Linked DNA regions of Tamandua tetradactyla. The protein of the gene in region 3 interacts with the protein of the main gene of each other region in a pairwise test. Links are inferred from orthologs where the notes say so. Each region holds a gene or a part of one and is shown on either strand. Other genes may lie near its edges.

Evidence for each region.
Region 1: the proteins of PPP1CC (region 3) and SFRP1 interact in a two-hybrid assay, tested with the Homo sapiens proteins (2 studies listed by BioGRID). The link is inferred for Tamandua tetradactyla from reciprocal best matches to the Homo sapiens genes PPP1CC and SFRP1.
Region 2: the proteins of PPP1CC (region 3) and PPP1R15B interact in binary tests that used the Homo sapiens proteins (3 or more experiments, as listed by UniProt). The link is inferred for Tamandua tetradactyla from reciprocal best matches to the Homo sapiens genes PPP1CC and PPP1R15B.
Region 4: the proteins of PPP1CC (region 3) and SH3RF2 interact in a two-hybrid assay, tested with the Homo sapiens proteins (2 studies listed by BioGRID and IntAct). The link is inferred for Tamandua tetradactyla from reciprocal best matches to the Homo sapiens genes PPP1CC and SH3RF2.

What each region holds. Positions count from the first base shown.
Region 1 is NC_135329.1:16,791,852-16,798,828, reverse strand, and holds the start of SFRP1 (secreted frizzled-related protein 1), read left to right. Parts: upstream 1-3,973; coding exon 3,974-4,517; intron 4,518-6,977. UniProt on the Homo sapiens protein: Soluble frizzled-related proteins (sFRPS) function as modulators of Wnt signaling through direct interaction with Wnts. They have a role in regulating cell growth and differentiation in specific cell types. SFRP1 decreases intracellular beta-catenin levels.
Region 2 is NC_135330.1:61,877,265-61,885,277, reverse strand, and holds the start of PPP1R15B (protein phosphatase 1 regulatory subunit 15B), read left to right. Parts: upstream 1-5,009; 5' UTR 5,010-5,620; coding exon 5,621-7,537; intron 7,538-8,013. UniProt on the Homo sapiens protein: Maintains low levels of EIF2S1 phosphorylation in unstressed cells by promoting its dephosphorylation by PP1.
Region 3 is NC_135331.1:11,472,296-11,479,999, reverse strand, and holds the start of PPP1CC (serine/threonine-protein phosphatase PP1-gamma catalytic subunit), read left to right. Parts: upstream 1-4,698; 5' UTR 4,699-4,913; coding exon 4,914-4,968; intron 4,969-6,487; exon of another isoform or gene 6,488-6,502; coding exon of another isoform or gene 6,503-6,521; intron 6,522-7,704. UniProt on the Homo sapiens protein: Protein phosphatase that associates with over 200 regulatory proteins to form highly specific holoenzymes which dephosphorylate hundreds of biological targets.
Region 4 is NC_135346.1:26,405,031-26,412,486, forward strand, and holds the start of SH3RF2 (E3 ubiquitin-protein ligase SH3RF2), read left to right. Parts: upstream 1-4,452; 5' UTR 4,453-4,611; intron 4,612-5,670; exon of another isoform or gene 5,671-5,709; 5' UTR 5,710-5,815; coding exon 5,816-6,193; intron 6,194-7,456. UniProt on the Homo sapiens protein: Has E3 ubiquitin-protein ligase activity. Acts as an anti-apoptotic regulator of the JNK pathway by ubiquitinating and promoting the degradation of SH3RF1, a scaffold protein that is required for pro-apoptotic JNK activation.

The DNA of each region.
Region 1 (6,977 bases), on a different chromosome or scaffold from region 3:
CAGATTTAAAGTTGTATTTTGTCCCTGTTCTTTTATTTTTATTTCTAAAATTCATTTTCTTTATTTTTTAAAAAATATTTTCATTGACAAATCTTCACACATATACAGTCCATACATGATGTACAATGTGGCCCACAATATCACATAGTTGTGTATTTAGCACCACGATCATTTTTAGAACATTTGCATCACTCCAGAAAAAGAAATTAAAAAAAAGAAAAAAACATACTAATATACCCCTTACCCCTCCCTCTCATTGACCACCAGTATTTCTTCTCTTTTTTTTAATTGACGCAACAATGTACAAGCACATACATTCTTAACATACAAACATTCCATACATGGTGTACAATCAATTGTTCACAATATCATCACATATTGTATACTCATCACCATGATCATTTTCTAGAACATTTGCATCGCTCCAGAAAAACAAATAAAAAGAAAAAAGAAAAAACTCATACATCCCATACTCCTTACCCCTCCCTCTCATTGACCACTAGTATTTCCATCTATCCAATACGTATATATTTTAATTTTAACATTTGTTCCCCCATTATTTATTTATTTTTAATCCATATATTTTACTCATCTGTCCATACCTTAGATAAAGGGAGCATCAGACACAAGGTTTTCACAATCACACAGTCACACTGTGAAATCCATATCATTATACAACCATCTCCAAGAAACGGGGCTGCTGGAACACAGCTCCACAGCTCCAGGCACTTCCCTCTAGCCTAATACTCCTTAATCTAAAAAGGGGATATCTATACAATGCATAAGAACAACCTCCAGGATAACCTCTCGACTCTGAAATCTCTCAGCCACTGACATTTTATTTTGTCTAATTTCTCTCTTCCCCCTTTCGATAGAGAAGGTTTTCAAAACCCCTTGATGCTGAGTCCCAGCTCATTCTAGGATTTCTGTCCCACATTACTAGGGAGGTCCACACCCCAGGGAGTCATGTCCCAGGTAGAGAAGGGGAGGGCGGTGAGTTTGCTCGCCCTGTTGGCCAAGAGAGAGATATTTTCCCTGTTCTTTTAAACCATTCAAGAAGAAGGGAAGGTGTGCCTCCTGGCCGACAGTTCTCATTCTCAGGAACCCCGATTTCTGGGAACTGTCATGCCAAGAACCTATTTAAAGAACTGTTGTTCTAGAATTTTTCCCTCTACACATACACTCTTGCCATTAGGAAAAGAGAGGCTGGACTTTGAAATGTAAAGGTCTGACAATAGTAAAAACCACAAAAATACTGTATGGAGGCTTCAGGAAAGTTCCGCAGGGCTCTGTTATACAGTATGTGTACTGCATGGCAGCAGGTGGTCATTAAAAATTTCAGGTGTGTGTAAAAGTCTCTTGGTGGGAGCCAGGGACTCAGTAGAGTGGCAGCACGTGGACAAAGGGGGCTGGGACCAGACTCCTTCCTTTCCGGTCCAGTTGGGCCTTAGGAGGAGCCAGAAATTTACCCGTTTTAGAATTCTGAGGTCTGATTTGTGCAGCCACTCCCCTTTTGTCCAGGTGACAACTGAATCTCTATCATGTCCCAGGAGGCGTATCTCTAAAACAGGAAGACCATTTGGGGGGTGGGGTGAGAAGTTGGAGATTGGAGTGATCCAATCACGAATAACCAGAGATAAGGTAGAACCCTTCCATGATGGGATTCTGAATTATGCTCCAGAATTTTAAGGGTGAACAGACCCAAGTCTTCTATTTCTTGTACATTTGGGAAACTGTACACATATGAATGAGGGGTCAGCTAAACCTGGATTTGGAAAAGAGAGAATGTTATCTAGAAACACGACTCTTTCCAGTGAGTGAGTAAACAGACACATCTGGCTTGGGACTGAGGGCCTGGCTGTAAGAGAGAAAATGACTCCCTACCAAACAGCATTTTTTCTCTAAATGTCCCTTGACTTGAGACACAGTTGCTGGGTCTCCTGCAGTCTATTCTCCGTGAGGAATTTCTCGGACAGAGCATTACCAATTGTTTTGGGATTAACCCTTTGCCACCCAAAGTCTTGCTGTTTCGCTGTCTATCTCTTTCTCCCCATTCTGTCCCCACTTGCTTTGGGGCATCTTTCATCGGCCAAAAAACGGCAGAGAAGTTGACTATCTGCAGATGCTGGCTGTGTGTGCAGCGGAATGACAATCTCTTTCTGGGTACCACAGCTTTAAGAAAATAGCCCCGCTTTTTCACAAGCTCCAGTAGTTTTACTTGGAATCTCTCCATCGAGAAATTTGGTTTGCAGAGCCCAAAGCAAGCTTCCTTGGAGCTTTACAAACAAGCTGGCCTGGCAAGGCAGCGCCTCCTATGGTGTCCGCCTTGAGTTCTAAGGTCTGAGGTCCATTTGCCAAAAGGCTCAGAAATGATTTTCAGCATCTCTGCCTCCCTCGGCCCTCACTGCAGGACACAAGCAGTGTGAGAATCCAGCAAACTTCATAAACTGCTTATTTTCTCTCCCCCCTCTGGAACTGAGTCATAGCCATACCCCAGCTCTCTGAGGCTTGACCCTCCCTCTCAGGAGAAGGCTTGGAACACACAGAGAATTCCTAGGAATTCCCTAGGTGGAGGGTGGAAGGGAGACTCCTGCTACTGGGTGTGTGTGTGTGTGTAGGGGTGGGGGGGGGTGTAGTTGGTTAGATGAGATAGCTGTGCTTTGTCTCTAGTACCTTCCTCTTGCCTTGTGCCTTAACGAGGACCCTTGGCTTTGACACTTGAGTTCCTGGACCCAGTCTAAATGCAGCATGTGTGCCTGAGTGACGGACTTGATATTTACACAAGCTACGCCGATAAGTGCACATGTGTTTTTAATGTTTTGGCTTTCTACACCACAACTATGTCAGTGTGTATACGCCTGCACACACAGACGTGCTGTTGGGCTGGGGTTTGGGTATAGGGGTTCTGACTGTCTCTTCCTGAGAAATATTTCCCACCACACTGAGCAACATTCACGCAGGGCCTCAGGTGTTGCTTGAAGGTCAGTTTCCTGATGTCTTACCTGGAAAGATGTTACATTTTGAAAAGAGCAAACAGGTCCGAGGAAACCTTCCCCTCGCCTTTGAAGGAGGCGAGCCTGCGCTGCTAGTGATTTAAAAGCAGACCTCCCTCCCTTCAGCCTCTCTGAACTCGTTAGTCTTGAAACGGCCTGTCTTTGTACTGCAGCTACAGAAAACAAATCCGAGTTGGTGAGCCGCTAGCCTGGTGGGCTGCTGCTTGAAATTCGGGAGGCAAAAGGGTTAAAAGAAAAAAAGTCTCAAGTATCTCCTGGGTTTGCAAGCAATATTGAGGTTCCCTGCTTTTCTGCAAGCCACCTCGAATTAATCAGAACATTAAACATTCTCTTTATCTACCCCACCCTTGTATCTATACCTCCTTTCTTTCCTTTTCCCTTTTCCCTTCTTCCTTTTTCTTTTTCTTTTCTTTCCTCTTCTTGGTGTTGTCTCTTAAGGGGTGTTGACCTGTGTTTGGTTCTAGTAAACCGGGCCCTCTAGCCAGTGAAGCGATTGGTTAATTGAGTCGGTGACTGACGTGGTAAATGAGTGCGGCTCGCAGCAGCCGGGAGCTGATTGGCTGCGCGGGGAGACTCCGAGGACTTTGCAACACGAGCACCGGGCACTCGAGTCCTGCGGCCTCGGGAGTAGGTGCTGCGCGCGCGCCCACCCGCCCGCCTGCCCGCCCGCCGGCCGCGCGTCCGGGAGCCCGCACGGGACTCGGTCGGCTCCGCCGCTCCGCCCTGCGCAGCCCTCTCCGCGCGAGCTCACGCCGCGGCTCCTCCTGCAGGCCGGGGTCCTCGACCTGCCGAGCACCGGGACAGCAGCGTGCGGTCGCGGAGCCCGGCTCGGGGCTGGCGACGGCGCCTTTTGTCCCCGGACATTCCTAGAAGGAGCCCGAGAAGTTTGCAGCGGGACGCGCGCGGGGAGGCGGCGAAGGTAGCCCCGACGTCGCGGGTGCGAGCGCGCGGAGCCAGCCATGGGCAGCGGGCGCGGCGCGGGGGGCCGCCGCTGGGCCGCCTCGGGCGTGCTGCTGGCGCTTGCCGCCGGGCTCCTGGCCGCGGGCTCGGCCAGCGAGTACGACTACGTGAGCTTCCAGTCGGACATCGGCTCGTACCAGAGCGGGCGCTTCTACACCAAGCCGCCGCAGTGCGTGGACATCCCGGTGGACCTGCGGCTGTGCCACAACGTGGGCTACAAGAAGATGGTGCTGCCCAACCTGCTGGAGCACGAGACCATGGCCGAGGTGAAGCAGCAGGCCAGCAGCTGGGTGCCCCTGCTCAACAAGAACTGCCACATCGGCACCCAGGTTTTCCTCTGCTCGCTCTTCGCGCCCGTCTGCCTCGACCGGCCCATCTACCCGTGCCGCTGGCTCTGCGAGGCCGTGCGCGACTCGTGCGAGCCCGTCATGCAGTTCTTCGGCTTCTACTGGCCCGAGATGCTCAAGTGTGACAAGTTCCCCGAGGGGGACGTCTGTATCGCCATGACCCCGCCCAATGCCACCGAAGCCTCCAAGCCGCAAGGTAAGGCCGCCGCCTCCCACGCGCGGGGGCGTCCCACCCGGGGCCGGCGAAGCCCCTGCCACCTCTCACTCCCACCCCCACCCCGCTGCCCCTCCGGGGAGTTCGGAGGTGCTCCCTGGAGGTCGGAGGTGCTCCCTGGAGGTCACACTCTAGCTGGACGGAGTGCTTTTTAAAAGCGTCTCGTCTCGCCCAGGTGGCATTTAGCGCCGCTCGCGACCCGGGTGCACGGTGGGGTCACCTGCGGGCGGCGGCGGCTGCGCCCGGGCCGCACCGGGCTCGGAGACCGGGTCCCATCCCCGCGGCAGCTCCGCCAGGGATCCGGTCTGGCTTTCCCGGTGCCCGAAACAAAGCCGTGCGCTTTGAGGGAAAGGAGAGCTCTTCTCTCCTCCGGGAAGGACTCGAGGCCCCCCGTGGAAGTTTTAACAAACACGAGAAGCGATGGCAGAATTGGAAAAGAAATCAAACCCCCACATATAGAAAACTCAGAAAGGCAGAGAAAATGCTAGGCGCAGCTTTGTTTATTTTCATAGGTTCGATGAGGATTAAAAACACACACGCACACACAAACATCTTTCTTGAGTAACCTCAGCTAGTCATTCAGCCAAGTAACGTCAGGACTGCTGTAGAACTGGCTGGAAAAAAAAAGTTTAGGAACCGTGTGGATTTCTGTTTCTCCATCCCTTTCAGGTAACAGCTCTCGATTTGGGGCTCCAGAATGGTTGGGGGATGGAAAACCTCCCCTCTTTTCATTCTTGCATAACCCCTGCTTCCCTCATTTGCACAATCCTCAGGTGATTAGAAAGATAAAAAAAAAAAATGTAATGACTTCGTTGATCGTCTTTCCCTGGGGGAGTAGGACAGAGGCTCTGTATATCAGGGGCTTTTCTAACCACCTCAGGGAACCACCTAACGGCCCTCTCAGAACCCCCTACCCCTTTCCCATTTAAAGGGCAGTTCTTTAGTTGGAGTTAAAAATAAGACAAACAACAACAACAAAGCAACAAAAGAACAAAAAAACATCCTGGGAAAGTTAAAACACAACATGGTCACCTGACATTTATAGGAGCGGATGCGCCCCTAAATTCTACGGAAGAAGAGTTTAGACTCAGAGATGTGGACGAAATCTGGGATGGGGGTGCGCTTAGCACAAAGGCACGGATCCTTTGAGTTTTACAGGGTGGGGATTTGGGAAGGGAGTAAGGGCTGCCCTTTCACTTAGCATATCATCCTGAAGTGTTGGGTTTCTTTAATCTCCTCCACTGTTGATGCTGAAAGCGGAAATGTCCACTGAGGGGCAACGAAGTTACCTGGATCCCCAGGAGTAGTGTGGGGGGGGGCAGGTGTAGTGAAAGGGGCACCCCCAAATTTTACCTGCTTACGTCTATTCTAGGGAGGGAGGAGATGGGCCCAAAGTGACTGCCATTGGCTGGGTGGCCTGGGATCTGTGCCAGGTGGGAAAGGCGCCTGCCTGCCACAGAGGGGTCTCGGGACCTCTGCTCTCTGCTTCCTGGTTGTCTGCATAGGGTTAACCTCCGGGGAAATGCAGCCCTTTGAGAGCAAGAGCTGAGCAATTACCTAGAGCAAACAAAGCACTTTGTGTTCTGTCCCTGTGGAACCATCCCCTGCAGCCCACAGGATTTTCCTTCTCTCCTTCCTGGCTAGCTGGGGGATTAGCCGAGCCCTGCCCTGAGAGGTGGCACTCCCAGCGGCCGTTCATTTTCTCTTTCTGGGATGGTTGGTGGTTAAGAAATGGAGACTTTTGGGGGAATAGCTATCGAGAGAGTGGTTGAAAGTCTGAGGGGGTGGGGGGAGAACTGGAGGGGGTACCCACGTGCCAGGGGAAGGAATCTGACCCCAACCCAACCCCCCAAAAGCCTGGGGTGGAGTGAGCTGCCTTTTGCTCCTTAGCTGCGTGTCCCTCGTTTGCTACCCAGTCAGGAGCCCAAGTGTCTGGGCCTTTGCAGCATCCCCCTCTCCTCTTTCACTCCACCCCAGGGACTGTCCATGTAACCACCCGTCCAGCTGCTGAATGAACACAGCCAAAAGTCGCCAGAAGACCAGTCAGGAGTGGGGCTAGGGAACTGGATCTCGCCCCAGAGTTTTTACCACTTTGCTTCCCAGGACCCGTGGTGTGAGAGAAGCTCCAAATCGACGGCCTCTGAGGCCGCAGGGCCACTTACTGACAACTGAGTGGGAGGGCGGAGGGCAGGCTCTGTGCGTGTGCGCGCGTGCATGTGCGCGTGGGGGGGGGAGGCACGCTGAGATAGCCCCAACTACTGGTCCTCATCGATGAGGCAAACCTTATAGCTGGTGGCCCTGGAATACAGCCCCGTAGTTTGGGTTGAGAATAAATATGCAGGCACTATTTTGATTCTTTAACATTAAAACTGAATTTTCAAAGCAACATCATAGCCCAGCTTGCTTGCAGCCTGGTTTCTGTGTGCATACATGAGCGTGCAC
Region 2 (8,013 bases), on a different chromosome or scaffold from region 3:
AGTCACATTGCGAAAGCTGTATCATACAATTGTCTTCAAGAAACATGGCTACTGGAACACAGCTCTACATTTTCAGGCAGTTCCCTCCAGCCTCTCCATTACACTTGAATAACAAGTTGACATCTACTCAATGAGTAAGAATAACCTCAGGATAACCTCTCGACTCTGTTTGGAATCTCTCAGCCATTGACACTTTGTCTCATTTCACTTTTCCTGTTTTTGGTAGAGAAGGTTTTCTCAATCCCTTGTTGCTAAGTCTCAGCTCATTCTAGGGTTTTTCTCAATCCCTTGATGCTGAGTCTCAGCTCATACAATCATTCTTGACATACAATCATTCTTGACATACGAACATTCTTGACATGGTTAAAAATCAATGACTCCCAATATCATCACATAATTGTGTACTCATTGCCACGATCATTTTTTTTTTTTTAACATTTGTGTCACTCCAGAAAAAGAAAGAAAAAAGAAAAAACTCATACATACCATACCCCTCATCCCTCCCTCTCATTGACCACTAGTATTTCCATCTACCCAATTTTGCAAATACTTTTTTATTCATTGTTCAAATCACTAATACTTGATAGTTTTTAAAGTGCTTTAATATGCATGATATTTTTCTTTACAACTACTGGAAGTAGGTATGGCTCATTCATTAATTCTTTCAACAGACATTTATTGTGCTTATCAGTGCTACCCAGTGGCATATGCCTCCATTCACAAAGAGTACAGTGTGACTGATGTGCTCTGGAGTTGTACTTGGCCCTCTACCAAATACAGTGCTGGGGTCACAAATAGAAATTGAATCCCCCAAATGGAGGATGGAGGCAATGTAATCTTTCTGGGGACATTCTACCTGGAAATTTTCAAAATTCTCCAGTGGGGAGTCACATTTCATGCTGGGCAATTTAGTGGGGCTTTCGGGGGATTTTTAGTAGTAAACAGCAGGAAATGTTACCTGCTGTATTTCTAAGTGGTTTTGAGGTGTCCCTGTGGACCTTTTAAAAGTTAGAACTTGAATCTGACAAGAATCTTAGTTAAGGAAGTTTCTTGGCCAAATGGGGTAGAAATCTGAACTACCCTGAGGGAGTGGGAATGAGAGAGCTGGGGGATGGGAAGTGAGGTTGTCCAGGGAGAAGAGAAACAAAAGAAGCCCAGGAGGTGAGGTTTCTTTGAGTTGGAGAAGTGGCCGAGAAACAACCCGACTTGCTGGGATTTGGGGGGCAAAATTTAGTTTGGACTTGAAAGGTTAAAAATGAGGCACCACAAGTTGGGAGGTAATTCTCACCTCCTTAGGGTTGTCTGGCTCAACAAACATGATGGCTTACTCTGGGTCAGGTGAGGTGCCAGGTATGATGGTTATTAAGATAATAAAAGTGTGAGTCCTGTCCTCAAGGAACTCACAGTCTAGCTAGAGAGGCAGACATGAAAGCAGATAATTAGTGTGTTATGGTAAGGACAAGGTAGGATGGTGGAAAAGGAGAGGGGTGGGTTGAGGCAGAGAGGTTGCCACAGAGGAGATATTTGAACTGAGTGTTAAAGTCAATCAGAAATCAGAATTTTATTTTTAGTAGAATGGAAACCCCATTAGAGAGTTTTGACAAAGGGACTGCAGTGTTCCAATTTACATTTTACAAGATCATTCAGGCTGCTGTGCAAAGCAAGAATGTAAGCAGGTAGAAGAGAAGACTTTGTAGTAGTCTAGAGTAGAAATGATGGTGGCTTGGTGTTTTGGTTTCCTGAAGCTGCTGGAATGCAATAAACCAGAAATGGCTTTGCTTTTACAATGGGGTTTCATTAGCTTACAAATTTAGTTCTAAGGCCATGAAAATGTCCAAATTAAGGCATCAAGAGGCAGATACCTTCTCTGAGGAAAGGATGCTGGCTGGCATCTGGGGTTCCTCTGTCACATGAGAAGGCACATGGCTGGTGTCTGCTGGTCCTCCTTTGTTTCTGAGCTCCAAATGTCTCTGGTGTTTCTCCCTTTAAGCTCTCTCTGTTTATCCTCATAAAACACTCCAGCAAAGGATTAAGGCCCATCTGGAATGGGCTGGATCACATTTCAATAGAAACAACCTAATCAAAAGGTCCCACCTACAATAAGTCTGCCCCCACGAGAATGGGTTGAAAGAACATGGCCTTTCCTGGGGTACATAAAAGCTTCAAACCAGCACACTTGGGGATGGGGAAAAGTAATCACATTTTGGATAAATTTTGAGGAGAGAACAAACAGGATTTGTGTATGGATTAGAAGGAGAGTGACAGAAAGTGAAGATTTGAGGATCTCTTCTGAGTTTGGAACCTTGGTAACTGGGTGGAGTACTGTGGTGGCAGCACTGAGATGGAGAAGATGGGTTTGGTGGAGCAGAATCAAGAGTAGTTTTAATCATAAGTTTGAGATGTCTGGCAGACGTCTAAGTGGAGAAGTAGAAGTATGGAATCTGTAGCCCAAGGGAGAGGTGAATCTGGAAATCTAAATGTGGAAATCATCAGTATTTAGGTGGCATTTAATGCCATGGAACCAAATGAAATCACCTGGGTTAAAGAGGGAGGAGAAAAGATGTGAGTGGACTGAGCTCTGCCACATGCCAAAATTTAGAGGAGCAGCAGCTACTGAGATTGTAGGAAAGCCAGAATGGTGTTGTGGGGGCTTCAGAAAAGATAGTGAGGGAATTGGGTTTAGCAAAATACTCTTGGTTACCTTAATAACAGATATTTGAAGGAGTGGTGAGGGTGAAAGCTACAATGGTATAGGTTGAAGCAAGAACAGGTGATGAGAAAGTGGGGACTATGAGTATACACAACTCTTGAGAGATTTCGCTGAGGTAATGCAGAAATTGGGAGGGTCATGTATCTAGGGTGTCTTTTTTAAAAATATTTTTTAAAATAGGAGATGCTAAATTATGTTAAGGTGAATGATCTATTAGTGACAGAAACTTACGGTGAAGAAAGGATAATGGAGCTCAGAATTCCTTGAGTAGACATGAAAAATAGGGTCTGGGTGGCATCTTCTACTGGGATTGAAGGCAGAGAATGTAGATTGATGGATATGGAGTCAGAAAGATGAGGTTGTTTATGCCCAAACAAATCTATTTTCTCAGTGAAGTGTGAGGTGTGGTCATAAATTGAGAATGTTTATGGAGCATGCTAGAAATTTGAGGAAAGAACTATTATAAAAGAGTGTAGGAGAAGCAAAGCTATCAGGGAACTGTCACAGGAGTGCCTGGAATTGGTGAAATTTGTGAACCCAAATATGAAGTGAGTCAGCAAGCTTGAGCGATTTTCTCCAGTAAGGTTTTGCAGCAAGGGTGTAGGCTCAGAGTAAGTAAACAGCTGGGTTTAACTACGATTGGAATTTTGCCAGAGAAAAATGCAGGTGTAGAAGGGCAAGAGAATTAAGGGTCTGGATAGGGGTACTGGATCATGGAATTCATGTAGGGTAACGAGGAAAATGAAGAGTGTGATAAATGATGAATAAGTGGTAAGGTCACAATAGTTTGGAGGTCTCAGTGAGGTAGCAGTGGGTTGGAAAATAGGAGGTGGTAGCCAGTGTGGGTTCCATGGAAATCAGATCTTGACGGTGTGTGCATGTATTGGTGATGCTGACTCTGAAAAATACAGTCAAAAGTCAAAAGCTCTACACTCTTTACCTCAGGACCAGCAAAATCTTTTAAAACAAGCATAATTAACTGAGGTTTTCATAATCTTCTGCCAAAGTACCTGTCAGCTTGCCAGTTCAAGGATATCTTGTCTTCCTCAGCTTGCACACTGCCATGGCAACACATTATCTCTGTGTAGAGTCGTCCTCCCTCTTCCCTCTAGTTGGTAGCAGGCTTTAAGAGGCTGTTTCACAGTTTATTTTCCTGTCAAGACTTACAAGGCAAAGTCATATATTTTATAGATTTCAAATACTTTATGATTGTATTTTTTCCCTCTAGAACAACATCCAAAAGTAAGGAAGAATAAAATTTATGGAGCCAATGACTTCATAGGCCCATTCAAGAAGGTTAAAAAAATATTTTAGGGGGATATGATGTCAGTCAGTGACAGAATTGAGAGTAGTTATAGATATCATGATAAGCTGATTAAAAAATAGAAATGGGACCTCTTAGTTTTCTAAAAAAAGGCCACTGTTCCTAGAACAGACCTAATAAAGTAGGAGGAGTAGCTGGCCTCCTCCTGGTTTCCTAAAGATCTTTCTGCTATAACTAGTGTTCACTACTGCTACCCTCCCTCTGCAATACTTGACTTCAGGGGTATTGATTTAAAAGTTTTGGGGGAAATAAGGAAATGAACTAAGACCAAATTCACAAGAAAGAATAAAATATAGCAACTTAAATCACCAGCCAAACTTCTTCCAAAGGATAGTGCTTCCTTCTTTGAGTGTAGTACCCTATAATTCTGGGAGCTCAGGAAATAAATATGAATTGAAAATGTGGCATTCTGGGAAGCATAAATGAGAGTAAACAGTTCTAAGGACTAAGTTTCTTCCCTTCTCTGTGGCTTCAGTTCGCCCCACAGTGAAAGAAAGTAACCTCATAGGGAGGCATCACCCGAGAAATGCAAGTTCAAAACCTGGATGGGGATGTATGTGAGTTGCATGCTGGAGGATCCCAAAACTAGATCCAGACATTAGTGGTTCGGAAACCTTAAAGCCGAGGGGGTAGGAATGTATAGGAATGGTTCATTTTTCACTTAAGATTTTTTTCAGTCCTACCTCAGATTGAGTCTTTTAATGCGCAACTCTTAAATTATAAGATATACTAAGATCTCAGATTGATGATCTACTCAGCATTAACAATATTGGAACCCCGATATATGCACGTCTAGCATAAGGCCATTAAAAGTGCATTAGGCCATTAAAATGGCTCCAGGGAATTTTCCAGCTATCTTGAAGCGCTCCCCACCTCCCTCCCCTTTAGCACAAAGGGCGACTGGGGCGATCTCCTAGGAGACCTCAGGGTAACAATTGCGCATGCGTAAAACTCTGCACGGCTGATGCAACCTCCCGCGTGCGAGCCGGGTCTACCGAGAGTAAGGAAGCAGACAGGGAGATAGGGTGTGCCCAATCAGCGGCAACACGGAAGTGTGCGAAAAGACCCGCCTACCGGTGTCGGCAAGTGACGTTCGGGGACGCGGGGTTAGTGGCGTAGACGCCGGCCATCCTTCGTCTTGTCGAGTTTCCTGGCGGTGTCCTGCCTCGGCGCCGACCCTGCGGCCATTTTGGGCTTTGCCTACACCCGCGTCTGCCTGCTTACCCAGCCCTTACGTGGTCGCGCTGCTAAAGGGCTTTTTAACCGTCAGTCTCTTGTGGAAAGTCGCCGCCGCCGCGGGAGGCCTCCGATCTATGGTGGTGAGACCTCAGACGGACTAGAACACCTCCTCTGCCAGGATGGATTTCGCCTCCGCTGCCGCGCCCAGCGCTTCGCCTTTCGGACTGTCGTCTGCCGCCTGCTGCCGAACCCGTTTTCCTCTGTGGCTCCTGTGCTGGCTTAGGGATCGGCCCGAAGCACCGATTCCGCCTCTCGTCAAGGCCGAGGCTGTTTAGGCCGCTTTCGAATCTCGTCCGATCTCCAGTTCCTGAACTCCGAGTACCCGAGAGATTGCCAAGAAAAAGGAGATGGAGCCGAGCGCAGAGTGCTCGCGAAAACGGTCTGCCGCTCAGGTGGGCTCGGGGTTCTGGCGGTCCTTCCTTTTTCCTCGGCGATCACGACCAGGCTCTTCTTCCAAGTTCCCGACACCTGCCGCCCCAGAAAACTCCGGGAACCCTCACCTGGTTTCCTCTCCCCAGCCCCAGGTTCGGACCAGCTACTGGATGAAGCTGCTTTCTCAGCTATTTGCCCCGCTCCCCACCTTGTTTCAGAAGCTGCTGATGTGGAGCCAGCTTTTCGGTGGAATGATTCCTACCAGATGGCTAGATTTTGCTGGAAGTTACAGCGTCCTGAGAGCCCTGAGGGGACGAGAGGAGCCAGGCACCTCCACAGCGCAGAAATCTGTGAGTTGCTTGCGGCTTGGCCCTTCGGACGACTCGAATCCCAGCCCCCTTGATTGGCTGGAGGAGGGGATACGCTGGCAGTGCTCGTCCCCAGCTCTAGAATTGGAACTTAAAGCCGAGGGAAGTGTTTTGGACCCTGAAGCACACGCTTTTCACGTAAAGCAACAGCTGTGGGGAGTGGAGTTGTTGCCGAGTAGCTTTCAAGCTGGTCTGTTCTCTGACCAGGAACCTGGCTCTTCGCCTTCGGGGTCTCTAGACATTCAGCACTTAAGCAATTTCAACGTAGTCTCCTGTTTGCTAAAACCTTCCTATCTGGATTGCCTTCCCCCGGTAGAGCTCAGCTGTGAGAATAGTGTTGGAAGTAGCGAGCTAGTTGATATCCAGACACTAACCCTAAATAGTAACAGTCTGGCCGATGACCTTTGTCATCCCCAGCCACTGAGTACAGAGATCACTAGAGCCTCCTGGCAGGGATGTCCACCTCTTTCTAGAGAAGGGTTGCCAGAAATCCACCATCTTCGCATGAAAAGGCTGGAATTCCTTCAGCAGGCTAACAAGGGGCAAGTATTACCCACGCCCGACCAAGATCATGGCTACCACAGTCTGGAGGAGGAACACAACCTTCTGCAGCTTGATCTGAAACATTGTAGAGATAACCCAACACAGCTTGTTCCCTCTACAGGAGCCATTCCTGGAACCGCTCAGGAAGAAGAAATACAATTGTTGCCCAAAGAGCTTCCACTTACTTGGAAAAAACAGGACCCTTTGGAAAGCTGTCCATCTTGTGAGGTGTCTGTGGCACCAGAGTCTGAACAGGACCACATTAGGGTAGTTGAGTACTCAGACATAGAAGAAGACCTTCCCGTTTCTGCCAGACCAGCTTGTAGTAACAAATTGATAGATTACATTTTGGGAGGTCCACCCAGCGACCTGGAAACAAATTCTGATTCTGAAGATGACCATTGGGATGAAGAAGCTGAGGATGATGGTTTTGATAGTGAAAGCCCACTTTCAGAATCAGACCTTGAAGAAGACTCTGAAGGGCTTCACCTTTGGAACTCTTTTTGCAGTGTAGATCCTTATAATCCCCAAAACTTTACAGCACCAATTCAGACTGCTGCCAGACTTGTTCCTGGAGACCCTTCTGATTCAGAGAAGAATTTGTCTGACAAGTCTGATCTAGAGAATTCTCCCCAGACTGGAAGACTTTCTGAGTCTTTTTACCATAATTCTGAAGAGGAAGATGACTGCATGTCTAGTGCAGATGAAATAGAAAATCTCAAACTGTGGAATTCTTTCTCTAATTCCGGTGACCCCTACAACCTTTTAAATTTTAAGGCTCCTTTTCAAACATCAGGGAAAAATTGGAAAGGCCATCGCGACTTGGAGAGATCGCTTGAATCTATTGTGGCTGTTTCTGAGTGTAAAGCTTTACTTTCCTGTAAGGTACAGTTGTTAGGGAGCCAAGAAAGTGAATGTCCAGACTTGGCACAGTGTGGAGTTCTTTCTGGAGAAAGATATGTGCATATCAAAAGAAAAAAGGTTTGTTTCTTTTCTTTCTTTTACTCTCTTGACACTATTTTGTTTTGATATGGCTAAATATAGTAGCATGACTTTTTGAGGCATAGTAATGCATATTTTTAAAGATTTCTGAATTCATAAGATTAAAAATTGTGCAAGTGGTCCCCGCCCCCCTTTTTTTCATTCTCACAAAGAGGTTTGTTACCCAAAACGAAGATGCTGGTGTGTAGCTGTTAGCAGGAAAATGCTTTTTCCATTTGGCTTGGCAGCGCTCAGTAGTTTCCTTACAGTCTTCAACTTTTCACTCTTTCAGGGAATAGAAAAACTAAACCTTGTTTATGTGTGCATGGTTTAATTTTTCCAGAGATTGGGAAGGTCCTATAATAGCCATAGAGTTTTAAAATGGTTTTAATCTGTTAAGTCATTTGCAGACACTTAATATTTTATTTATATACTAGTAGTCTTTACTTATGTCCATTAGAACCCAAAGCTATGAT
Region 3 (7,704 bases):
TCCGGGGACAGCTTGCTGCTTTCCTGACTGCGGAGTGAGTCATTTTGTGAAGCTCAGGAACATTTAGCAAGGCGGTATTGGTCAAATTAGCAAATCATCCTAATTTGTCCGTTGGGTAAGTAGAGCTGGAAGGGTGTTTGGGGCCTTCACAAAGAGAGACTCGCCCAACGCCAACGAAGACTCATGAGGACCGAAGATGGTTCAAGAGATTTCGAAAGAACCCATCTAAATGTCCCTCCTCCGAGAAGGATTCTGGGAACATCTGAACTCCTGGCCCAAAGAATTCAATTTCCCTCATCCCTAAAAACGCGACTCCTCAGTTTGATGAAAGGAGGTGTGAAGTCAGATAAATCCGAGCCCTGTCCTTCCCTAGCTGGGGTTACAAATAATCTCCTCTTTCCCAGCCTAACTCCTAAAATGGGGTGAGGATGAGCGTCAAGATTCTGCAGGAAAAGCCGTGAGCACAGAAACTGTCACATAGCAAGCACTCAGTAAATGTCAACTATCGCCGTCAGCATTGTCACCATTATTTTTACCAAGTCCCCAAGCACGTGGGAAGGTAAATTCTCACAATGACCTTCTGAGATGGGTGATGTCATTCTCACTTTGCAGATGAGGAAACTGAGGCTCAGAGTGATAAAGCCGCACCTGTCAGCGGCCTTCTCCCTGGTCTCAGGGCTCCCACTCCTGCCCACCTACAGTCCATTCTCCCCTCAGCAACTGAAGAGATCTTTAGAAAATGAAATCAGATCTTATTTAGGTGAAGATGCTTTCAGAGTTCTGATGCTACCTGATATGTCATGATCTAACCTTTCTTTATGATTTCGGTATCATGGAAAAAAAGAGTAATGTTATGGTTATATAAGATGAAACACTAGGAGAAACTGAGTCAAGGGTATTAGGGACCTCTCTGTATCATCTTTGTGATGTTTCTGTAAATAAAAAATTATTCCAAAATATAAAGCGTCTTTAAAAATATAAAATCAGATCATGTTACTCCTTGACCCAAAATCCTGCAGTGACTTCCCATTAGGCTTAGAATAAAATTTGAATGACTTTCCGTGGCCTATAAAGCCATGAACCAGCTGGCCACCTCTCCGACCTCACCTCCTAATACTCTCTTCCTCACTCTACACTCCAGCTGCTCTGGTCTTCTTTCCATTCCTCCAACACGGGAAACTTATTCCTGCCCCAGGACCTTTGCATTCGCGGTTCCCTCTGCTGGGGATGCTCTTCCCCGTTGCAGGTCTCCCCATGACTTCCTCCTTCTCATCCTTCAGGTCTTATTCAAATGTCACCCCCTCAGAGTCCCTCTCCCTATGTGGTCACATGAGCCCTTCTAATTTCCTCATAGCAATTTACCACTCTCAGAAATTATCTTCTTTGATTGAGTTATCTGTTCCTTTCCATCTTTTCCACCAGATTGGAAGTTCAACGAGGCAAGGACTGTCTGGTTTGCTTACTACTGTGTCCCCAGCTTCTCGCAGAAGGCCTGGAGCCTTGTAAAGCCTCAATAAACATTTTCCAAAAGAATAAGTGACTTCTGGTAATTTCACAGGACATTGAAATAAAGCTGCAGGCTTTACCAGAAAGCTTCCATTCACTGCAGCCCCCACACATGCTTGTCTGCCTTGTGCCATATTTTGGAAGGATTTGAATTCACAACCATCTTTTACAAATTGAAACATTTCACATAAAAATCCATATATCCAAGATCCTTTGGAAAAAAAAAAATCAGAGAATCTGGCCATACTGGGCTCATTATGTTCCCCATGGACTGGAGCTGGGAAATGGACACCCCCTAGCTGGGGAGTGGGCTCTGCAATTCATAAAAGTCACTACTCAGCCAACGTAATTCTTTCGCGCTGTCGGCCTGGTCCCCGTAGGCTTCGGATCCCCCTCAAACTCTAAAGGGTCCTGAGAGATACTACTGGTTTTCAAATATTTTAGACATAGCCCCTCTTTCCAAATCTCAATGGAAGCTCAATGTATTAGATAAAAGTAAGGATAATTAATATTGATTGCATACTTACTGTGGGTTATGCCTCTACTTTGCTGGACTCAAGGGGTTGGAAACAGAACCCGTTAGCTCCCACCCTCCTCAGTAGCTCTCTAAGAAAGTTCTGTAGATCCAAGGAAGGCAGTACAAAAAGAAGTAACATTTAACCCACTCTCCTCATTTTACAGATTGGCAAACTGAGGCCTAGAGGAGGAAGGCACCCTTCAGTAAATGGCAACACCCTTTCAGGTGAAATGAATGTGTCTGCCTCGTCCTTAGGGAGACCACCAGCATTGATTATTGCAGAAACAGGCCAATAAGGAATCGGTTCTTTCCTCTGTGAGCGGTTTGCCGATTCCCAGGATCTGTTCACACTTAGCCGTGTGAGCTCGCTCTCAGGCTCTGAGTCGGCTAATTCCTTTAGGCATGTGCCAGCGAAACTGGACTCTGGAGGGGAGTTGCCCAAACTTACAGTGGCATGTGGACAGAGGCACAGCCTATGTCCCAGCCCAGACCCAAGTCCTCCTCCAGAACTGATGATGTCAGTGGAGGTTAACACACCTTCCATTTTGCAGCTGGAAAATTACGGCACTCTTACTGTGGGAAGATACATGCGTGGGTTGCTCCATTGGGTTCTGCGTTTATGAAGTGTTTGGTGTGCGCCAGGATTGTGTCAGGGGCTGGGAATTCACAATGGGGATTTATTGAATATGAACGCTTTTGCTCTCAGGCTCTCCTGAGGTTCCAGCCTCTGACTTACTAGCTGTGTGACCTTCAGCAAGTGACCTAGTCTCTCTGTGCCTCAGTTCAGCTGTAAAATGGGGATGGGTAGGGATAGTACACAACACGTAGGATTGTCTTGGGGATTCAATGAGATAATGTTTTGGCACAAATGAAGAAAGTGAGTGCAGTGTTTGTTTTTTTTCTGCCGCACTTATCAGAAGCTGATATTTTTATTTGAGTCTTTGTTGATTTACTGTCTGGCTGGCTTACTAGCTGACTGTCCACGAGAGAAGGAGCTTGTCTGTTTTGCTTCCCGGCCTAGAACTATGCTTGGCCAGAGTACATGTTCTGTAAATATCTGTTTGCTGAATGAATCGCAGTCTTTCATATTCCTGCTGTAATTGCCTTGGCAATGACATGCCCTGCCCACCGCGGAGCTCAAGGTCTCGTGGACTCCTGTGTGAGCCATCACAGCAGTGCTGGGCACCCGTCAGAATGTCACCGACTGGGCTCGGTGCCCTGGGCTTACAAATGACACTTGTGTGGCTTTTGGTGGCCAGAGCCTCAGCACGGGGGAGTGAGCTGGCGACTCGGGAGAGTGGAGTTAGCGGTTGTGCAGAGCCGGCTGGACACCAGCTCCTCCACTCCAGCGGCGACAGGGGCGCAAGCCAGGACGCAGGGGGCCTGCCTGGGCCCCTTGGAGGGCGCTGCTTCCGAAGATGAATGCCCGCAGCGTAATCACCTTGCTAGTATTTAGGGATGGGGATTCGGGCACCCTGCATGCCTCGAGAAACAAACTGAATTTCTCTGTGGGAGCAAAGGGCCTTGCAAACTTACTGTAGGGCGCAGCAGGAGAAGAACGGATTACTGGGAAAGATCAGAAAAGAGAGCACCTCCAAACCCAGCTAAAGGCGATGCGCAACCCTCGGAAGCCGCACACTTTCTGCCCCGCCCTGAAGAGGGATGCCCGCTGGGGAGGCTGGGAAGCCCGAGGAAATGGACCAAAGTTTCCCGGGGTGTCCGCAGAATTCGAGACCTCCCCCCGCACTACCAGCCTCTGCCAACTCGTTCTTCCGGCCAAAAACTCAGAAATCTACACATTCTCCCTTTATCTTCTGCAAACTTGGCTCTGATTAGATTGAGGGTTACCGTTCCGATGATACTATAACTTCCCGAGTTTCAAAAAGATTATCTAAAGATAGAGAGGATGGATATTTTCTTTGGAGGATGACTTTTTTTTTTTCTGAATTGCACGGCCAGGTACCGGGAATCGAACCCTGGTCTCCAGCATGGCAGGCGAGAACTCTGCCACTGAGCCACCACCCTGTGAGCCACCGTCCCAGGATGACTTTTTAAGCTTTTTTCTTTTTTAATGTAAAAACTCACAGAAGTGACACACAAAATATACAGATACGCACATTTCCATACCTTAGAATAAACAACAATATTTTGACTTATCTGGGAAAGGGTTTTTAAAGCAACCAGACAAACCTCTCCTTTCTCCTCTCAATCCCAGAAAATTTGAATGCAAAAGAAGTCTACCTACTTCTCTTTAATAATCTCCCTTTCCACTCCCAAACCAGATTTATTTTAAAGGGCAAATTCCAGGAGCCCTTGAAATGCCTAGTCGGTCTTCCACATGCCAGGTCTGAAAACATCTGGCCTCAAAGAACTTGATCCGACGAAGGCCGAAGTCGCTAGGGCGCATATCTGGACCGTCCCCTCCAGCCCCAATTCCCGCGTGCAACTTTACAACTCCCGCTCCGGCCAGAAGGGCCTATTTGCTCGGCCCGCTTGGCGGAAGGATCCCGTGCGCTCGCAAGTTACGCTCAACCGTCTCCTGCCCCTACCCGCGCTCTGGCTCCGCCCCCTTTCCAGCGTCCGGACTCCGCCCCCTTCGGCGCGCCCTATGGCCCGTAAAGAAGTCCCGGCCGGGCCGCTGCACTCCCCCGCTCGCATCCGTGCGCCGCCCGAGGCTGGCTAAGCAGTCATCGGCCATTTTGTTCTTCTCGTGGTTCCAGCGGGGAGAGAAGGAGGAAGCAGGGAGCGGGGCGGCTGGGGGGGGACCCGCCGCGGCTGCTGCCACCGCCGCCACCACCGTCTGTGTGCTCGTGGCGTGGGAAAGGAGGTGTGGGTCCCGAGCGCGAGCCGGCGGTGGCGCCGCTGCGGGAGGGTCGGCGGCGGGAAGGCGATGGCGGATATAGATAAACTCAACATCGACAGCATCATCCAACGGCTGCTGGAAGGTGAGGGGGGCGGCGGGCGGGCTGAGGGGAGCTGGGCCCAGGGGCGGCAGGCGGCCCCGGGGCTCGCGGGAGGGGAGTTGGGAAGCCGGTTGGGCTTGCGGCGGTGAGGGGAGCGAGCCCGCAAGTTGGCCCGCGGGGCCAGGGGCTGCCGCCGGCCGGAGGGAGGCCGGGCCGGGTCCCGAACCTGACCCAGCCCGCGGCCTCTCCCGGCCCGGCTCATTCGTTACACGAGGCTGCAGCCTTCCTCCTGCCTGTAAAATTTGAAAATTCCGCCGCCTACCCCCACGTTTCCCACCCATACTCTCTCCTCCCCCATCCCCCCCTCTCCCCCCGGCAAACTGGACGACGGGTCTTGGGAGAGGAGATTGGGGGGGCTCGGTTCAACCTGCAGGACGGCGTGTACCGTGCTTTATTCTGGCCAGGATCGAGTTTCTGGTACTTTTTCTCAAAAAGCAATTTATTAGGGGAGTTGGTTTCATCGGGTTTGGGGGCTTTATTCATATCTTGCTTTCTTTTTTGTGTGTGTGGACTGGGGTCGGGGTTCCATTTCTTCATACTTGGTAGTGAACGCTCATTATCTGAAGGGGACGTAAGAATTCATCTCTCCCTAACCCCCAGATAACCTTTTAAGTTATCCTTCCTTATCTTCGATAGGGCTCCGCGCCCTTTTTCATGAGCGTGCTTGTGAACTTGAAATCAGCGATGACTGTGTCATTATCTTTCCAGTGTACCAGGGTCTGGGTCCAGCGCTTTGCGTTCTTCAGATTCTAACAATAATAATAGCCAACACTTCTAAGGACTTCACTATGTGTCTGGCATCCCTTTACAGATTTAATTTCATTCTCATAACCTTATGGGGTAGGTGCTATTATTTTTCCCGTTGTACATACGAAACTTAAGACACAGAGAGGTGAAGTCATTTGTCCAAGGTCACACAGGTAGTGACAGGTTTCAAAGCCAGGAGCCAGAACTCTCTACATTTCAACTCTCATCCTATAGATGACCCAATGTGTAAAGGAAAATGGAAGTGTCCCATGGTTAAGAAAAGGTTAAGTTAAAGCTTTCGTGTTGGCGGACCTAAGACTTGTGAGGTGCCTGGCAATTGATTCTTATTGATATGGAAAGCGGTGAGCTTCAGATTTTAAAGAGGGAGGCCACATAGAACTACGTGGGTATTCCAGAGCATATCTCCTAATACAAACATCTTTCCCAGACTTTGGAAGAGTTCAAGTAATTCTCATTCTTGATTTAGGCACTAAATCGTGTAGATTTGTCTGAGTTTTAACTGCTTTTTGCCTTTATGCTGTCCTAAAATATTGTTGGAATTTAAATGTGTGATAGAGGAGAGTATGAACAGTTGGGCACCTCTGGTGTTAGAATTTGCAGAACTTTTGAAGTAAATCATTAAAATGAAACTCCTAAAAAACTCTTCCTTTTCTTAAATCAGTGCCTTTTTTTTTCTTTTGCAGTACTTTCTAGCTTTCTTAAAAGAACAACCCACAGAATATGTATAAGAAACCCTGAAGTGCTGTTAATGACACTGCCATTTGCAGGTGAAATCCTTGTCATTCAGTTCCTGGGATTTATTATAAGAAACACAGGCTATAAAAAATATTCAAATGCTTTCCGTACTAGTCAGTACAGTTCTTTGATTTCTGTGTAGCAGTACTCTGTTAGAAACTGATTAAAACTTTTGCAGTGGGAAAGAAACTTTTATTAAATATTTTCATTTAAAATCTTAAATTAACTATACTTCTGTACAGGAATATATATATGTATTTAGGTCTCAACTGAAGTTCTGGTTTTGCCCATAATTGTCTCTGTAGTCACATAACAGGCTTTGTTAATTTAATCTTGTTGCCTTGATGAGCTTGGCTCATGTAAAATGAGATCAATCACTGTTTCTTAATAATCCCTCTTAATGCGTTATGCTGTACTTGAAAACCAGATTTTGAAATTTTCATTTTTCACTACAAATAATAGAATAAAGCAGTGCATTTTAATTCCTTGGGAATACTGTAGCTGCACAACATAGTTAAATTCTTGTCTCATGGATGTTAGATTGGCAGGGAAACAGTTGAAGAGGATTCCTTGAGGATAAGTATCCATCAAAGTTGAGAGATTCAATAAAGTTATTGAATTTTGTAATGCCCCAAAAGCCTTTTTCAAGCCTAAAAAATTTAATTAGATTAAATAAATCTGAAAATGGAGAGAAAAGGAGTTTTGTGACATTGTTAGACATTTTTTATGTGTTCAGAGTGTCTGATCTTTATGGTCAAGGACTGTACAAGCTATCAGTGTAAGTCCTTGGTTAGCACTGAAAAGACAACTCAAACTTAAGTCCAGTTTAAGAAAAACAGAATGCTGGTTTAGACCTTACTCACTAGCTTCGCAGTTCTTTTTCTACTATAAATGTTTAGTTTTTCCTTAAGCTGAAGTATCACTTCTGTGTCCCACCTCAGAAATTTTATCCAAGGAAGCTCTGCCTTCCTGTTGATAGATAAATTATTCAAGTTATTTCCTAGTATGACTGAGGTTCACTTATATAAATACTACACAATAAAACTTGGGGGATTTAGAGAGAAAAGAAATCAGTATTCGGATATTGTACATTGGAGAAAGGTCAGTTTTGAGGGCAGACTTATTTTGTAAGCGACCCCATTCAAGGGTCAGTGATGGCTAGCGCTTTTCTTGCACAGCAAGTGGTTGTAACTTACTTCACATTGTAGTTTGCAA
Region 4 (7,456 bases), on a different chromosome or scaffold from region 3:
GGTGATTGCATAGGAATGTCATGAAGTATGCTCTTTACCGGCAAACATCCTCCAGAATGGAGAGGAAATCTGAGAGTCATTCTAGTCCTGCACCTTTCCAGAAAGCCAACATGTCTAATAGCTGGCTAATTTTAATTCTAATAAGAATTCAATTCCTGCCATTCTTGTTTCCTTCACTTTTTTCACTAATGGTAAGTGTCCACTTTCCTCCAATCATTTCTCTCCTTGAATAGTTCCAAAGATTACCCAGTATTATTAAAAAGCCAAATTACATGGGCAAGTTCAGCACCATGGAAATAGATAACATTTGCATTCAAATATTTAAACATATAGCCAATATTACAGTAGATACTGAAGGGAGAGTGCAAAGAAGTACAAAACATGGTCTCTCCAACAAGGCTACCAGCAATAGTGAAGCCTCACAAGGTTACCTCGTGACTCCCTCAGCTCTAAAACTTTGGATTTCCAGCTACCTGACTCCTTTGATGGATTCCAGGATTGTTTACAAATAATTACTTCATGGCAGAGACCTTGAGACCACCAAAGGGTTAAGAGCCAGAGTCAAATGAAAATAGCACATTGCTAAAATTGTAATTCCAATAAGTAAGTAAACTTGATTGAGATAATTTGTCTGCACATTTTGTTACTTAGTTTTAAATTTGAAAGAAACTCTCTTAACCTTAGGCAAATCTTGCTTGTGGTAGTTTCCTTGTGATCTGGAGTGAGGGAAAGAGTAGTGAAAAGGGAATGAGGGAGAGCCAATACAAGGATGCATCATTGCATTATTCATTCAATAAGCAAATGGCGCTCAGCCTGCAGAACCTCACGTCGTTTCAAAATTTCCTGAGTGCGAGAATGAAAGGAGGAAGCATACGTTCATAGAGTCCTGCCCCCACTAGTCAAGGATGGCCCTCTCTAGGATTGTGCACACGTGGGTGCAGAGCAAGTTCCCACGGGTATTCCACATAGCAACACCAGAGAAGCTCTGGGGCAGTAGACAAGAGCTCACAGTAGGGCCCCCAGGGGAGACACTACCAGGTGGCCTCCTCTGAATTTGGGAAAGCCTTCTTGGCAGTAGCTTAGTAAGAGGTGGGACCAAGAAGATTCAAAGTGTGATCCAAGAGGTGTGCAATATAAAACCATTTCTAACTTCAAGTTTGATGTGCATCTCTCCAGATATAAACAAGTTTTTAAGAACACAATTCTTTTATTCATTTATAAACCCATTCAACAAATATTGCACATCAACCATATGCCAGTCACTGTGTTAGGTTCCAAGAATAGGGCAATGTCAAGACAATTAAGCTCCTTGGATAAGGCAGGCATTAAATAAATCATTATAAAAATAATTTACTAAATTACACTTGTGATAACCAATATAAAGGAGAAGTGTAGGGGGATAAACTTTCAATCATGAGAACCAAAGAAACCCTCTCCGAGGAAGTGACATCTAAGCTAAACATGCATTATGATTAGTGGTTGAAAATGCAAAGAGGAGGAGGAAAACAGTAACTAGGAGGGTGTTGTAGACAGAGAGTAGAGCATACACAAATACCCTATGTCAGAAAAACATAAACTGCCCTAAGTGCAAAGAGAGAGAGTCAATGTGTGGTGAGGAGGAAATATGGGGACAGGTCAGGCAGGAGAGATGGGCTGGAGCCAGACCATGCAGACACCGATAGACCAGGAAAAGGATTTGGATTTTATTCTAAGGCCAATAGGAACCTACTGAAGGTTTTGAACTGGGGAACCACACGGTAAGATTTCATTTTTTTAAATCTAACTTTAGAAGATGTACTTGTAAATACAAATAGCAGAAGCTCATAAATATCATGCAAGTATTTAAAAAGAGGAAAACCGGTAAGAAGCATGTAACAACACAACCATAAACAGTAGGGTTGATGGAATGGGAGCAGTGGAGCTGATAGCCTGAGCCCAGAGTCTGGCAAAGCATGCATAGTTGACCTTTTTGTTTGTTTTTTAAAGACTAGATGTTCATCTGAGTTGACGCCAAGATAGTGTTTGGGTAAGCTGGGGTGAAATCCCCATTTAAAACTCTCCTCCTTCATCAAAGGCTTCAAAGGAAAATTTTTCTTCCAGTTTCCACCAAAACTAACCTCATGTGTGGGTGGTGTTGGGGACCACCTAGAGGGTGTGATTCGAAAGGTCCTAAAAGAACCCTCTTCCGCTCACCGTAAATTTTCTCTGTCCTGCTACTAGTGCCGAAATTTCTACCATCAGTAATTCTGTTTGGCTGATTTTTTAAATGTCAGATTTGCTTGGGCAGAGTAATACACTGAATCTGTCCCGCCTTCCTGGGGCCCAGCTGGTTTGATCCCTTTTTCTCAAGGCTGGGAGAGTTTGAAGCTTTTTGACACCAGCAGCCACACAGGGGCATGGAGGGGCCATGAGTCTGGGTAAGCTGCAAGGAGGGAGAGCCAAAGGAGCCAAAGCACATCAGACTTCAACATTTTGTTTGAGGTTGGCCGTGGGATCAGCTGGCGTGTGTGATATGAATATATGGATTAGTGCGTGTGGATTTGTACAGCAAAGATATATGAGTGAACTTACAACATGTACTTGACTTTATGCCATGGGAAGCAATAACAGCAAGGAGCTCAGGCCCTGGTGTTAAACAAGGCTGGGGACGCATCACAAGCTTTGTAACCCTGGGAAAGTTACCATACCGAACTGCTTACTTGTAGGGCAGCTGAGAAGATTCAATGAGACAATCTGTTTAAAGTCTTAACTAGGTCTGCAGCATACAGCAAGTGTTATTATTAAAAGTATGTGTGTGTTTGTGTTGCACTTATAGATGTGTGTGTGTGTGTGTGTGTTAGAGCAGAGGTGGGTATACATAGTGTGCATAGGAATGAGACAGGGAAGGAGTAAGTGTTACCTTCAGCAGCAGCAGCAGGGAGCTCCAACATTGGAGTGGACCTTTCCAAAGAGGGGTGAGGGTCGGCAGGAGAGCTCACGGGGAGACCAGATCAGCTTTGCTAAATAGGAAACAGGATAAGGGGCAGCAAAAGGTTTGCAAACTACAAGAGACTTCCTAATGGGCACTGAATGACGAGGGGAAATTCACTGAAGGAGGCAGGCAGACAGAAGGGGATGTGATTCTGTTAGAGCTCAAAAATCTTCTAGAAAGTGAGATGAATAAAAAGGGAGCTGAAAGCAGCCTCTGAAATAGACACATATCAAGATTAGGCTGTCAGAGCTGAGAAGACAGATGATTTCATCTACTCCATCCTAAAATTCTGTTCTTCCTTATTTTGAGCTTCATGCTTGATTACATTTTCGAAACTGGACATGGAAAGACTTTGATAACCACCTGAGCCACCACAACCTGTTTTCAGGTCTCTTGCTCCCTTCTTAGGATTCTCCCATAGAGTTGTATTCACATGCCTTCTGCATTATAAAGAATTGACATTTTTATGATAAGAGAGAAGATATAGTATAAAGAACACCCAAGTACAAATCAGAGGAACTCAGTTCTGCCTCGAAGTCACTGAGCAACTTTAAGGAATCTCTTGATCTCTCTGGGCAGAGCTGCCCCGTCTGCAAAAGTTGATTAATCAGCTAACTTTTGCCTTCCTGCTACCCCAGATGAGGTTTAGCTCACCTATCCTCCCTTTTAAAGCTATATCACCACTTAACTTAGTAAAGAGCACAGAATACCAGTCTTTTACTGGCTGTGACTCCTGACATAAGTTATCTAACTTCAAAGTGAAAGTAAAGAAGGGTATAGTGTATCATAGGAATTTTTGGAGGATTAAATGGGGTAATAAAGGTAAAGCACTTAGAACGGTTCCGGGCCCAGGAAAAGGATAGCCTAATGTTAGGTGGTATTATTATTATTATTATTATCTATTTATTCTACTTGGATATCTTTGTAACTTTCCATGAAATGTATTAGCGATGAGCCAAGAAATATAAGTATTATTTAGGGACATAAAAAGACTACAGTGGGGGGAACAGCAGAGAGCTGGAGCGCATTGCTTTTCCGTAAAAAAAAACTCTTCTGTACACTTTATTTTTCAAGGATATGTATGTACTACTGGGACATTTTTAAAATTATTATTCTTTGAAGAGACGGAGTATATTGAAAGAGTTTATCAGAGGTACCATTAATATTTCTGCCCATTTCAGAGAAATCCTTGTAAAGTTTTTTGTGTTTTTTTTAAAACCGCACAATCACGTTGGCATAACTGAACACGTTTTAACTCGCCTTGGAAAGATAAGGCGCAAAGGTAAAAACATAAAACTTTGGAAATACTTGGCCTGGGGGGCTGGCTTACGTACTATCTCATAACCGCTTCCCAGAAATCCACCCAGTTCCGTAAAGGAAGGTTCCGTAGCAGAAAGCGAAGCCCTCCTGGGGGGGCGGGGCGGGGGTGGGGGGAGGAGAGTCCTGCCGGCGCGGCAGCCGGGCGGTGAGCGCGGTAATAGTGCTGCGTAAGGCGATCCCTCGAGTTGAGTAAGACTCCGAGTTGTTCAAGTTTTCCAGGCGGCCGCGGCGGCACTGGGGGGTGAGGAAGCGAGTCGCCGGGAGCGCGGCGGAGCGGACAAGCGAGCCGAGCTGAACTCCGCCGAGGTCACTCGCGCAAGGTTAGTGGCAGCGCGCTGGTCCCCAGCCCGCTGGTCCCCAGCCCGCCCGCGCCTGGCATCCTTGGAGAGGTGGCCGAGGAAAGCGAGGCGCCATCTCTCATGTGTACCGTCCGCCGTGCTTACTGGTGGGGCCTTCCTGGCTGCAGCGTTCACCCATACCTGGGCACGTGTGAAGGACTGCTGACTCTTTCCGAGGAGACTTTCCTAAGCTGGAGACTTCTTCTCAGGCGTCCACAGGGAAACTGTTCCTGAAACAGGGGTTCTTTACACACGCGCGCGCGCGCAGGCATACCTGCCGCACCTGTATGTTCTGTTCCATCCTGGGTTTTTGCAGGTTGCGGGCACAGTCCTGAATCCCTACCTGCTTCAGTTGAAATTGAAAACACTTGTCAGAGTAACTCAACAGGCTGTGCCACCTTACATTGCCGGGAGGAATCTTGTCTCTAAGGCTGTTTAAGACAATCTTGGTGAGCAGGCAAAGAAAGGGAGAGAGAGAGAGAGGAAAGCTCCCAGGTCGAGGCAAAACAATTTTGAAAATGGGTTGCTAGTAGAGATTTCTCTTGTACATTGTTAGATGAAAAATAATGGGGGAAGATGTATTGTGAAGGGAATAATTCTACATCTGATGTGATTCAGATAAACTTACCCACATCAACTAAACTTACCTGCATGTGGCGCAGATAATAGATTAACCTGGAGAGAGAAGGAGTAGATCTCTTCACAGAAATTACATTCTGGAGGGGCTCTGATTTGAGAATTGAGAGTGTCTGAGTGCTTTACCCAGATTTTAAAGGACCCCCTCCCAGCCCAGACTGGCAGAGAAGAGGGGGTGTGCCACTTCAGCAGGCCATTTTTGCTCTCTGCCTTTCCACACAGAGAGCCTGTGCGCAGTCTCTGCTGAATGCTGCTGGCTCCTGTTCCTTGCAGCAGGCAGGAGTCCTGTACCTGCTAGCACTGAATCAGAATGAGTCATTTGAAACTTGGGTGCCGGAACAAAGTACTTGCAAACTGCCTTATGAGACATTGCCTCAATGTAGGTGGGATATACATCTCAGAGCAGTCACAGTTCTATCCTCCCTTCTTTTCCCCTTCAAACAGGCAGGAAATCTGAGGCTCTGGAGAGACCGGCACTGCCCCCTCAGCTCGGCTGCCCCTACAATGTGGATGCTGCCCCTTCAGGTCAGGACTGGAGTGTTAAAATAAAATGGATGATGTGACGTTACTTGATCTTTTGGAGTGCCCTGTGTGTTTCGAAAAGCTCGATGTCACAGCCAAAGTCCTCCCTTGCCAGCACACCTTCTGCAAACCATGTCTACAGAGGATTTTCAAGGCCCGCAAAGAGCTGAGGTGCCCAGAATGCAGGACCCTGGTCTTCTGCAGCATCGAGGCGCTGCCAGCCAACCTGCTGCTCGTGCGTCTTCTGGACGGTGTGCGCTCAGGGCAGAGCTTGGGCAGAGGGGGCCACTTACGCAGGCCTGGCGTGTGGAGCCTGCAGGACAGCCCGAAAAGCAGGGCCAGCCCCCGAGGACTGCAGTCCGGCACTTTCCGGCTGGTGCCCAATATCAGGATCCACATGGATGGGGTAAGAGAGATCTTATTTGTTAGTATCGTGTCCATGTGGAGGTTGGATTTGTGTTTACCCAGAGTTGGGAAGGATCTTCTTGGAGTTGCACTTCCAAGAATGTTTGCGGTTGGTTCCCTACTAAGTTTCTGGGATCAGCGATCACTTTTCTGAAGTGTAGGTAGAATCCTAAGCCTGTCTAATCAGTCTGAGAATTCTCCTTAGAAGTGAGCATTTATTGAAGCCTCCCTAGGTGGTTCCTGTTTCTTGTACTGAAGGCGGCAGGACAAGGAAGGCCTCCCTGATTATGTTTTTGTCTTTCCCTTCTCTTGTTCTGAGGCCAAACTCGTGCATGGGAAATGTATGGAGGGTAGGAAAAAGAGAGAAAAACAAATCCAGCTGCTTGTTGCCTTTGAGATCTCTGAGAAATTTCCAATTTCAGGTTTTATTTTAATTTTACCCAAATCTGTCTTCCCACTCCCAATCATAAAGTGCCATTATGACAATGCTCATTCATAAACTGTTTGAAGCTATCAAGATACTTGACACTCAAAAATCGTGAAGGAGGGAAGCGTGTATGTGGGTGTACTGATTGATAGCAAATCCGGGCCATGAAATACAATGGATGTGTACAAGAGCCCTGCAGATGGATCTTACTTGACAAAATGAATAAGCCACGCATGAAATACATGCTAGGGGCTACAATAAAAAATGAATGGACATGGTAGAGCTGTACCGGAGATTGTCCGGTAATATTTTTGGTGTTTTAATAATACAAATCCATCTGTCCAACCCTGCAAGCACACCCTGTGGACTTTATCTGAACTGACTGTGAACCTTGCTATGGGATGCTTTGTAAGAGCACATCTCGAGAGAAGAATGTGGTCCTTGTGAGTCCAAAATAATTATTTGCACTGTCACCCCTGGAGTCAGTGTGCCAAAGTGAACATGGAAAGCTATGGCCTGGGTCATTGCATGTTTAGAATATCAAAGCTGCATTCTGTGAAGTCGTGCTGGTGAGCAAGCTATAAAGCTTTACTACTGACAGTAGAGTCCCATGACTCCCTGCTATTACAAGTGACAGTGTGTATGTGTGTGTGTGTGTGTGTGCGTGTGTGTAGAGAGGGGCTGGGCTTTCACGGATCCCTTCCCCACTCTGGAGAACAGGCCTGTGATGGGCATTCAGAACAAACTCATTTTCCTTCCAAAAACTCAACCCTCCCTCCCTTGTTCACGATATCTGTCAGCCGCCCATGTGGCATGGAGGGGACACACATGCAAAGC